2 linked regions of the Drosophila melanogaster genome follow. The protein of the gene in region 2 binds, or shares a complex with, the protein of the main gene of each other region. Each region holds a gene or a part of one and is shown on either strand. Other genes may lie near its edges. A codon is read from its position in the direction of its gene.

Evidence for each region. The genes of interacting proteins can lie anywhere in the genome.
Region 1: the proteins of ftz (region 2) and ftz-f1 are in contact, whole or in part, in a crystal structure (PDB 2XHS), measured with the Drosophila melanogaster proteins. Residues at the interface, in NP_477498.1 of Drosophila melanogaster: Ser107 (codon at 2,640), Thr108 (codon at 2,643), Leu109 (codon at 2,646), Arg110 (codon at 2,649), Leu112 (codon at 2,655), Leu113 (codon at 2,658), Thr114 (codon at 2,661), Asn115 (codon at 2,664); in NP_524143.2 of Drosophila melanogaster: Phe842, Val845, Arg849, Val859, Asp860, Gln862, Met863, Leu866, Leu1016, Glu1019, Met1020.

Annotation. Positions count from the first base shown.
Region 1 is NT_037436.4:18,797,984-18,803,770, reverse strand, and holds the start of ftz-f1 (ftz transcription factor 1), read left to right. Parts: upstream 1-2,461; 5' UTR 2,462-3,663; intron 3,664-4,915; 5' UTR 4,916-5,039; coding exon 5,040-5,787. Other genes in the region: CG14073 (uncharacterized protein), read left to right, coding at 41-708, 774-989. UniProt on the Drosophila melanogaster protein: Acts as a cofactor to fushi tarazu (ftz). Facilitates the binding of ftz to DNA. Binds the sequence element 5'-YCYYGGYCR-3' in the zebra element of ftz. Probably functions as a nuclear receptor for a yet unknown ligand.
Region 2 is NT_033777.3:6,862,073-6,867,859, forward strand, and holds ftz (fushi tarazu), read left to right. Parts: upstream 1-2,251; 5' UTR 2,252-2,321; coding exon 2,322-3,069; intron 3,070-3,216; coding exon 3,217-3,701; 3' UTR 3,702-4,172; downstream 4,173-5,787. UniProt on the Drosophila melanogaster protein: May play a role in determining neuronal identity, may be directly involved in specifying identity of individual neurons. Required during embryogenesis for the process of body segmentation.

The sequences.
Region 1 (5,787 bases), on a different chromosome or scaffold from region 2:
TGAATGAATTTGAACTAAACCATGCATTAATCTCTTCCAGATGCTAAGGAGTATGGTTATGATATATTCAGTAATGTACCGAATACAGCTTGTGATATGAGCAGAGCTCTACGTAAAGAAAGGAAGGAGGCCAAGCAGCAGAGGATGAGCAGCAACAGTGACAGGACCAGCAACTTGAATGGTCTGTTAGCGGAAAAAAAGGAGGAGCAGAAGCCCGAGGATTTGGACCAGGATCGGGTGACAACAACGATCAAGCAGAACGGGGAGACGAGTGCAACAAAGACTGGATCGGCGACTACGACGACGGCAACAACGATGGTTAAATTGGAACTGGGAACCGACGAGGATAGCAATAACAATAAGAACAACGAGGAGCTGAATGCTAATGTGGAAAATAATTTAGTAACAAGCGTTGTGAATGTCAAGAATGAAGTGAAGAAGGAAGTGGAAGCTGAAGCTGAAACAGAAGCGGAAACGGAAACGAATGCGAAAGCAAATACGAATAGTAGCACTAGGCTAGACGAGGATCAGACGGACATCGAGACAATGGATAGTGAATTGAATGGTGATATTTTTGAATTTGAAGAGGCCGATGTGCCCTTGCCACCACTGTACTTGCTCAAAGACGAGGGCAGTGATAAATGGGTACTACTCAATGATTTGTGCAATTTACTTAAAGTTAAATCGAAGGATACGTTGCTTAACAAGGTATGTGCCATTTAGATGCGATATTTAAATGAACTTATAACAAAATCTTGTTATTTTTTTTTTAGCTCTGTCCGAACAACAGCAATGCCTTGGCCAGCAGTCAGAAGCACCTGCTACGGGAGTTCAAGATAGATGATTTCCTGGAGAAAGCCACCTGCCTGCAGCTGTTGTGCGCCGGTGAAAAGCTGAACATGTTCAGTTCGTCGAAGGTTGTGCTCATCAAATACAACGACAGTGTACGGAACTTGTTGGGCGTTAAGACCATTTTAATGAAATTTTAACCGAGATATCTTTAGCGATTGGACGGGGCAAGATCCAGAAAGATATAAATTAGATAATGATGAATGGATGAGCATAGTACTAACTGAACATAGAGTGTAAAGTGCAAACAAATATGGAAAAACTATTAGTACGAATATAATAGTAGATTTATATACTATACATATGTATATTTTAGCTAGTAACTAGTTTTTACTCACACGTCTTTGTCTTTGGAAGATAAAGGATTTTATAAAGGAAATTAAATTTAGAGCTAATGCAAAGTGATACAAAGGTGCTATACACACTCAAAACGAAGAAAAAGGAAATGAATGGAAATTTTAGAGCGAGAATATTGAGAAAATCTGGAATCTTTAGGGATTGGCTGCAATTATGCAATAAAAGTAGAAGAAAACAATGCAAGGCAGTTAGAAACGAGGAAACGAACGGAAAATGTATGCCAGCCAATCAGCTAATAAATTGATATATACTTACAGATAAATCTAGGGATGAAGTGTAATCTATGGTTTTTAAAAAAACAAAACAATCTAGCTAAAGTATAAACTAAATAATAATTATTGTAATAATATTAAAGAAGCAACAAAGGCGTATTTATGTATTATGTATTTTTAAATGAAATTATTAACATAATATATAAAGTATATGTATACACAATATGATCCAACTACAATGTAAATCAATTTTCAGATAGGTTTGTAATTTTCTATGTAATGTACGTGTGTAAGTTTTGTGCAACTATAAAAGGAAACCACAAAAAACTGAAGAAATTTAACAAAAAAAAAAAAACTAATAATGAAAAACAAAATAAATGCAAAGTGAAATTTTGACAATTTAAAAGTGCGGTTTCACTTCAAAATTTTAACAATCTCCTGGCATTTGAAAACAAATATCGATCCAAGCTTTTATTAAACGATTCTTCAAAATTGGTTTAAAAGGTTATTTATATATAATAATAGATGACTGAACAGGTAAGGTCTTAGATAAGTACTTAAATATACTTAGAGGGCCCATTCTTTTGAAAAAGTATAATTATATCTTGTGAATATTTAAATTCGTCTTCTTCTTTTCCTTTTAAATTTGCAATTATTTGAACTAGATAATCTCATTGTATTTTTTATTGCTTATTAAAATTTATGTAATATTTCATTGACAAACCGCCACAGTTTTGAATTTACGATCTATCGATAACTTGGCGATAGGTTCCGGCAGATGTCGCTCTCAAAAGCTCGCCGCACGAGCGGTGCGCTAAACGCGGGTGTGCGTGCATGTGAGTGCTTTCAGCTGAAAGCTTTCCGGTTTTCATATGATTGCCGTCCTTGTTCTTCAAACGATTTTTAAAGGCCAAGAATGCTGCCTCTCTGTCCTTGGCCCCGCTCTTCGCTCCGGTGATCCAACACTATCCCGACCGCGCATGTGTGTGTGCGTGTATGCGCGAGGGCTTTCGGTCTTCTTCTACCTACGCCAACAAACTTTTACTGTGTGTTGTGTTCCCGTTCGAGTTCGACCTAATTTCGCTCGAGACCTAATTTTTGCGTGCGGAATAGTTTTTCCCGAAAAAGTGAAGCCAGCGAATAAACAATAGCTGAAAGTGAGCGATAGCCAAGAAAGTAAGAGTGAAAGTAAACAAAAGCGAAAAGAAGAACAGCTCTGGCGTTAATTATGTGTGTGTACATACGTATATATTTAATATTTCCGATGCGTCCATAACGGGAGTGTGTTCTGGTTTCCAATCGTCGCCCGCGCCCCCGTCATTGCCTATCCGTTTACCAAACCCCAATTTTGGTGTGCAATTGTGTATAAAAATTAACACAAAGTGGGAAGATAGCGTTGTGTCATAGAATTGGAGCAGAAGCAAAAACAAGGCAAAATTAGCAAAAGCCAAGCGGAAAAACAACAACACAGAGTGCCCAGTGGAACCCCAGTACATGTGTGTATATATGTATGTGCGGTGCGAGCGTGTCAGTGTGTGCGTAGCAGGAATTGCAATTTATAGTTGTTGTTTCTGAGAGCTTTCGCTTGTTGCGCGCGTGCGACGATTGTGCAAGAAGTTCTTGGTGTGCGTTCGAAATCGGGAAGAGGAAATCGCCGAGAATAGAGGAAGAGTAAATGGCAATAAATGCAAAATAAATAAAAGAAATAAATAAAAAAAAATATAAATAAATTGCCAAATGCGTTTGGCGTCGCGTGTGTGTGCGTGTTCTGAAATATGCTGAAAGAGCTTTCGGAGAGCGAGAGCAAAAGAGAACGAGACGCCGAGAGATGCGATCGGGAGAAATAGCAACAACAACAACAACGGCAACAGCGACTACGATCGGCGAAATGAATCACACACAAGCTTTGTTTTGCGAATTATAAATTCGCGTTCCGTTCTCCACACATGCGAATTCCCACACTGAGAGCGAGACAGAGACAGCGAGAGAGAGGGAGACCAGCTACGGCTACAAAAACAGAAACAGCAAGAAGACCAAGACATAATAATAGAACTTTTGCTTTCGCTTCCAACTGGTTTTTGTATACATAAAAAGCGAGAGGGGAAGAGACGGAGAAAGAGAGAGACGGACAGCTTCCAGCGCTTCTTCTTCTTCCGCGATCTTCGTCTTGGAATTCATGGAACCGGGCGCATGCGCAACACACAGAACTACAAAAGGAAAAACAACGACGTCAGCTGCATGAAAGGTAAATTCTCAATTCTCCCCGCTGCACGACTTCCTCTCGCTCACCTTTTACCCCCCAAAAACCTCCTTTTCCATTTTGTCTAGTTGGGTGAGCTTTATTTTACTGCACTTACCATCTTTAATGGGAAGTAGGAGCACGGAATGAAATACAGTTTTGACACGAATTTGATTTAAAAACCATCATTATAAGAAAACTTTTTAAATAAAATCACCTTTTTGTTTGTTTAAATAAATTTTACTGGGATCATTATATATATATTTTTTACAAAAATTAATGTGGTTTTAAAAATTTGGATAATAAACTGAAAATTGTATCAGCAGTTTATAGCTTTTTATAGTTTTTTTTTATACATTTTCTCGTATTTTCCACTAAGATATTTTTCTTTTAAAATATTAAATATAAAGTTAATGTCATTTGCTCAATTTTTTTCCGTGGATTACCCGAGGGTTGGTGAGATTCAAGCACGAAAAGTGAAGAACTTGAAGTCGAGTGAAGTTAATTAAAGTATCGTTAAAAAGGGTAACACAGGGCTTAAAAAAATGGGGGAATCTTTCCAGTTGTCTGTTTCGCGAACTGGAAAATTACTGTAAATGGGGGAATAAACAATTTAGCGTGTTAATTTTTAAATGGATTTTATCTACTCGGAAAAAATAATTTGGTTAAAGATGCTTTTAATGCATTAACTTTTTTTTTTTTTATTAATTTTTGTAATCTTGTAAAACAATTGCATTTTTAAAAAAACTTTATTTTTCAATTTTTAAATTAAAGATTCTCGACGTCTATTTTGAAATTTAATTTTTAAACATCGGTTTATTGGTGAAATTGCATTGATACTGATAAAAATAGTTTAGGCACTCCTAAGCTCTACGGAGGTATATATTGTGGACTTTCGACGATTTAGTTAAAAACCCTAAACAATAATTAAATAGTAGAATTATAAAAAAACTGAAATATAACATAATAAATTGGGTGGACATTGAAGTGGTACAGAAAAAGCTTTGAAAGCTTTCTCTCCCCACAAAGAGTTGACCTTGGCCTGCTTCAAATACCATTAGGCCTTTCCTTGGCCCACATTCTCTGCGACCTGACCTTCAACCTGACCTTGCATTAACCTAGGCCTTTGAAATCCTTGTCCTACTTCCTGAAAATTAATATTTATTACTAGAACGGATTGATTTTTGGTTTAGACGGCTTTAAAAACGCTTAGAATTTTTTTTTGATTACTAATAATCTGCTTTATTACCATTTTCAGGTCTTTAAAGCAATTATAAACTTACAACTACTATCGTTACCTGCCATTAAGAATCAACAAAACAAATACCACACATCACAACGAAACGTACAAAAAATAAAAGTTAAATTATATTATTCATAAAATGGATACCTTCAATGTACCTATGCTGGCGGAGAGCAGCAACACCAACTATGCAACAGAAGCTACCAGCAATCATCACCACCTGCAACATCAGCATCAGCAGCAACATTCACATCAGCAGCAGCAGCAGCAGCAACTCCTAATGCCCCATCATCACAAGGATCAAATGCTGGCGGCGGGCAGTTCGCCCATGCTGCCATTCTATTCACACTTGCAGTTGCAACAGAAGGATGCAACTGCAACAATAGGACCTGCAGCAGCAGCAGCAGCAGTTGAGGCGGCAACAACATCGGCAAATGCCGATAACTTCAGTTCATTGCAAACGATCGATGCCAGTCAACTGGATGGAGGCATCTCCTTGAGCGGCTTGTGCGATCGTTTCTTTGTGGCCAGTCCAAATCCCCACAGCAATAGCAACATGACACTAATGGGCACTGCCACAGCTGCAACAACTACCACTACCAACAACAACAATAATAACAACACTAACAATAACAATAACAACAACGTGGAGGCTAAGACAGTGAGGCCATCGAACGGCAATTCGGTGATCATCGAATCTGTGACGATGCCATCGTTTGCCAATATTCTATTTCCCACCCATCGCAGCGCCAACGAGTGCATTGATCCCGCCCTGTTGCAAAAGAATCCCCAAAATCCAAATGGCAACAACAGTAGCATAATTGTGCCGCCCGTCGAATATCATCAATTGAAACCACTTGAAGTCAATTCGTCGACTTCCGTTTCCA
Region 2 (5,787 bases):
GATGGGGTGTGTTGTGGTCGGACACTCGCATGTGGGCCTTACAACTCAATTAAAGTTGCCTGGGTTCTGGATCTGAGCTCGCTGCATTTCCGTGGAGAACCGGGTGGGCAAAGTATTATATGACCATGTGCTAGGTTTGGATTAAGCTTAACAGAGGAATTTGTGAAATCCAATCGTTCGAAAGTGAAAAAGTTAAGTGCCCTTATGCCACGTAAACCCATCATTAAATATTTACAAAAACAAACCATTCATAAACAGCTAGACAAGTTAGTTTAAAATCTTAGGCCATGTTCATGTAAAATAATTCAACTAATTAATCTTTTTAAGGTATAATTCAATAAGTATATATCTAAATTCAAAGACCTAGTCAAAAGTAGTAGCCCTCGCCCTTATTTATTGCGTTAAAAAAGGATCCTAACAATATTTAAATAAAATGAGATGAAATTATTTTAGTAAATGATTCGGTATCGAAAGAATTTTATTTTTGGGGAGCTGTTTTTCCTTTCTTTGATTGATAGATATAAACATAAGTTATCGGATGGTTTTATATCCTACTCTACACCCTTATTGTTAAGTTTACTGCAAAACCAGAAAGGAGGCTCACATTCACTGGCAATATAGCAATCACAGGACATCGGAGAGATGCGAACTGCAGTCTCTTCTGTCAAACTGAAAAACGCCATAAATTTTGTGGAACAATGGAATCTGCCAGAGTATGCGGATGGGGTAAGGGTAGAATTCGCACATGCACACATATGTCAGGAGTATCGATATGTTAGGGGTGTTCAACGGGGGTGGCTAATAAAATTTATCCAGGCCGCGTAAGCCGATCAGAAAGTCATGTAAACACAAAAGTGGCTGAGAGATGATTGTTTTTTACCAGTCAATTTAGCTGAGCTGATTTCAGGTTATACGCGAACCTAAGATGGAAGTAGATTTTTAGATTACCAGAAATAACCTTCAGTTTCTAAAAGAATGAGAAATAGTAAATCGTGAAGCCTGTGGCATTCTTACCCCTTACTGAAATGAATGTAACAGGTAGAAGGCAGCAATTGCAGTGCTACAAAGTATATATATTCTTGATCCATATAAGTATAAGTATAAGAGCTATAATGTTATAATTAAACATGAAGATCCTACGCTGTGCAAGTTTTGTGCCACAAATTTAACTCAAGATTACCACTCACAAAGGATACATTACCATTTGGCCATTAAAAATTACAGCATCCATAGACAACCTACTTAAAATTTATAAAAACTTGAGGGTTATATCACAGAGTTACCGAAAAAAAGCGTAAAAGCTTTATATTCTCAACAATATTATGCTATTAAAATATTGCTGGTTTTCTGCTGTTATAGAATCATTTTTAAAAGTATAACGTAAAAAATAAAATAAAACTAGTATTCATTTGAAAAATCAGCGGGCATATAATTTATATCATATTTTTAAAATTTAGGCAAAGGATGTTTGCATAAAGTTTTTACTGTTTACTAGTCATTTTGGAAGTGCGTTTGTTGGTTTTTAGGCAAATACCGGGCACAGGAGTGAGTTTGGGAATCGGGAGTTGCGCACTTGCTTGGCCACGAGGGCAAACAAAAAGCGCAAACACGCGACCCTCGGCCACGCGTATTCCTGATCCCAGGGATCGGACGTAATGTTATCCTTTGGCCGCCCAGTGCCACGAAATAAATTCGGAGGGAAAGGGCATCGGGTTCCGGGAACAACTGGCAGCCAGTCTTCGGTGTTTTGCGCGCTGGCAAAAATCCAGAGAAATTTTTAGGGAACCATAAACGGGCCGGGGAAAAAGCCTCTGCCCCGAAGGAACGTTTTCAGCAACAGTTTACAGTTTTTATGTCTTTATGATTATTGCAATTAGAGGGAGATCGGCTGAGAGTCGCGCCCTCTCGCTCTGCGCACCTCATAGGTAGGCACCTCATGGCCGTAATTACTGCAGCACCGTCTCAAGGTCGCCGAGTAGGAGAAGCGCGCGGGCGGATAAATCGCGATGATAATGGGCGCGATGGGTAGGTAATAAGCCGCGCAGCAGGTAGGCACCGTACGGATAAAGTTGCCAGGACCTCGGATAACTTCCCCTCTCCGTGCCTGCAAGGACATTTCGCCGGAGGGGTGGCTGCGAACAGCAGGCGGCAAAGTGTCATGCGCAGGGATATTTATGCGCTATAACGGCGAGCGTGTGCCGAGGGCTCTCTGATTTTGCTATATATGCAGGATCTGCCGCAGGACCAGCTCATTCGCAAACTCACCAGCGTTGCGTGCACATCGCAGAGTTAGAGAAGAAATCTAGCAATACACATCCGATATGGCCACCACAAACAGCCAGAGCCACTACAGCTACGCCGACAACATGAACATGTACAACATGTATCACCCCCACAGCCTGCCGCCCACCTACTACGATAATTCAGGCAGCAATGCCTACTATCAGAACACCTCCAATTATCAGGGCTACTATCCCCAGGAGAGTTACTCGGAGAGCTGCTACTACTACAACAATCAGGAGCAGGTGACCACCCAGACTGTACCGCCCGTGCAACCCACCACCCCGCCGCCCAAGGCCACCAAGCGCAAGGCCGAAGATGATGCTGCTTCCATCATCGCCGCCGTGGAGGAGCGACCCAGCACACTGAGGGCTCTGCTCACCAATCCCGTGAAGAAGCTGAAGTACACCCCCGACTATTTCTACACAACCGTCGAGCAGGTGAAGAAGGCTCCCGCCGTAAGCACCAAGGTCACCGCCAGCCCCGCTCCCAGCTACGACCAAGAGTACGTGACTGTGCCCACGCCCAGCGCCTCCGAGGATGTCGACTACTTGGACGTCTACTCGCCCCAGTCGCAGACGCAGAAGCTGAAGAATGGCGACTTTGCCACCCCTCCGCCAACCACGCCCACCTCTCTGCCGCCCCTCGAAGGCATCAGCACGCCACCCCAATCGCCGGGGGAGAAATCCTCGTCAGCTGTCAGCCAGGAGATCAATCATCGAATTGTGACAGCCCCGAATGGAGCCGGCGATTTCAATTGGTCGCACATCGAGGAGACTTTGGCATCAGGTAGGCATCACACACGATTAACAACCCCTAAAAATACACTTTGAAAATATTGAAAATATGTTTTTGTATACATTTTTGATATTTTCAAACAATACGCAGTTATAAAACTCATTAGCTAACCCATTTTTTCTTTGCTTATGCTTACAGATTGCAAAGACTCGAAACGCACCCGTCAGACGTACACCCGCTACCAGACCCTGGAGCTCGAGAAGGAGTTCCACTTCAATAGATACATCACCCGGCGTCGTCGCATCGATATCGCCAATGCCCTGAGCCTGAGCGAAAGGCAGATCAAGATCTGGTTCCAAAACCGACGCATGAAGTCGAAGAAGGATCGCACGCTGGACAGCTCCCCGGAGCACTGTGGTGCCGGCTACACCGCGATGCTGCCGCCACTGGAGGCCACAAGCACCGCCACCACCGGGGCACCATCGGTGCCAGTGCCCATGTACCACCACCACCAAACCACCGCCGCCTACCCCGCTTACAGCCACAGTCACAGTCATGGTTATGGCCTGCTCAATGATTACCCTCAGCAGCAGACCCACCAGCAGTACGATGCCTACCCGCAGCAGTACCAACATCAGTGCAGCTACCAGCAACATCCACAGGACCTCTACCATCTGTCTTGAGGTCCGGCGATGCTCAGTTACTCTCTTCCCCAGAGCGGAACCGAAAGCCGTACCGCCACGAAACCGAAGCGCACTTCTCTCGACCATTTGTAGGTGACACGCAAATGACACAGCCGAGAACGAAGCTGCGACGCGATGAGTTGCACAGTAGAGGGCGCACTCCCTACGGTGCCCAGGACATTTTGGGCACAAGGACGAGTGCGCAAGTGCAGAAGGCAGAGGCAAAAGAGGCAGCGCAAACAGAAAAGGAGCCTTGCTGCGCGCGGAACCCAGTGGCTGGCCATGATGGGTTCTCAGCGATCGATTAGCTGCGGCCAAACACAAGCCCAAAACACTCAGCTGGGAGTGATAATGGCCAAGAGACTTGGAGACTGACACACATGTTTTTGTACATATAGTAGTTAAGATATTCCTATCATAGAATTCTATTTATTTAAATATACGAGTAAAGTAAATCGATCGAATTTAAACAAATCAAGTTGAACATTCATTTGGCAATTTGTGAAGAAGAGTCTTGGGCATGCTGCAATTTGACTGCTTTAAAATTTTAAATTTATAGGCCGTGGGCCGCGTATGTGGAATACATTTCATATGTATATGTGTTGAAATAAAATTAAATGCCTTTCAATGATAACTACTCAATAAATTCTTAAAATAGTTTGGATCAACGTATGGTATTTGTCTAACTACTTTCACCGAAAACATATCACAAGGCAAAGTTTACCTTCAGCCTATTTTCATACCTTATATATGCATATAATACATATATATGATAAAAATGGAGTTTAGGAGTTAAGGAGTTTAAATTATTTAAGTATAAGCCTAATATTTAATTGTTCGTTGAGAAGCTTAAGAGATCTCTTGGTTTACTTTCTGATGAATTGCACATGGTTGAAGCATTACTTTCGAACTTATACGAAACGCAAACGATTTAATGTTGAGCACGAATCGTACAAATTCGAGCAGCTGCATTTTGTCGCTTCAGTCCCCCTCATCCCTGACCCATTGCTATCTCCCGGATTTTCTATTAAATGCACTCTTTTCGCCAGAGAAAATGTCACATTTTGGTCTGGCTTCGGGGCATATCTACCACCGCATCCCTGCTCCCTTCCTCCCTCCGCCGCTGCACGTTCCTCTATTGAAGTGAGACATTGATTGGTAATTTTTCATTGCACATCCGTGACAGTTATGGGTAACGCAACGCAAAAGGAAAAGCCCGGTGCGGAATCGGATTCGGAATCAGAATCAATATCAAAGGCAAAGGGGATCCATGTGCAGTCGAATATATCCCGGCACCATTTATCCGACTCATTAGACAAAAGTGGTCGGTGGGTGAGTTCGAAGTGGCATCTGTGGGCACTTTAGTGTTAGGTGCGAATTGGTGGCATTGGTTAAGCTTAGTGGTGATATGTATCTATGCCGCTGCGAAAGAAATTTTTTGTCTGATTTAATGATTTAGATGGCTTCAATGTGCTACTTAATTGATTTGGAAACCATGTACATTTTGTTCAAATATTTTATAAAATAAATATTTAACAATGAACAGACCTTCAATAGATCAGATTCTATCCTACCCTTCTAGAATGTAGTTATGACAGACAAATTAGTTAACAGATATAAATCAAAAGACCGAAAACGGAAGAATCCCTTTGCAAATTCGAATTTGTGGCATTTTTGCAATTATATAATTAGGCCATAAATATATAAACGATGGTGGTTGGGTAAAAAAGCCCTACAGTGACATACATATCTACAATACAAACTACTTGGCAAATACAGTATGCGTCAGAAATATAAGTCAACGAAGTATTTATATTTTCTAAATAGTCAACTTTTATTAAACCCGTTACGCGTATTAGAAAAGGGTATACTTGATCCGTTGAAAAGTATGTAACAGCTAAAAGTTTTTCCGTATAAGCTAGGATTCCAGAGATGCACACACACAATTAATACGTTGAAATTTCTTGTTCGTAATCCTACTAGGTGATAGTCGAAAAACTCGACAATACCATTCCCTCTAGTTGTTTTGCAAACATCAACCAAGCGGATTTTACTGGTTCCTTTGACTCCTTAAAGTTATCAATTA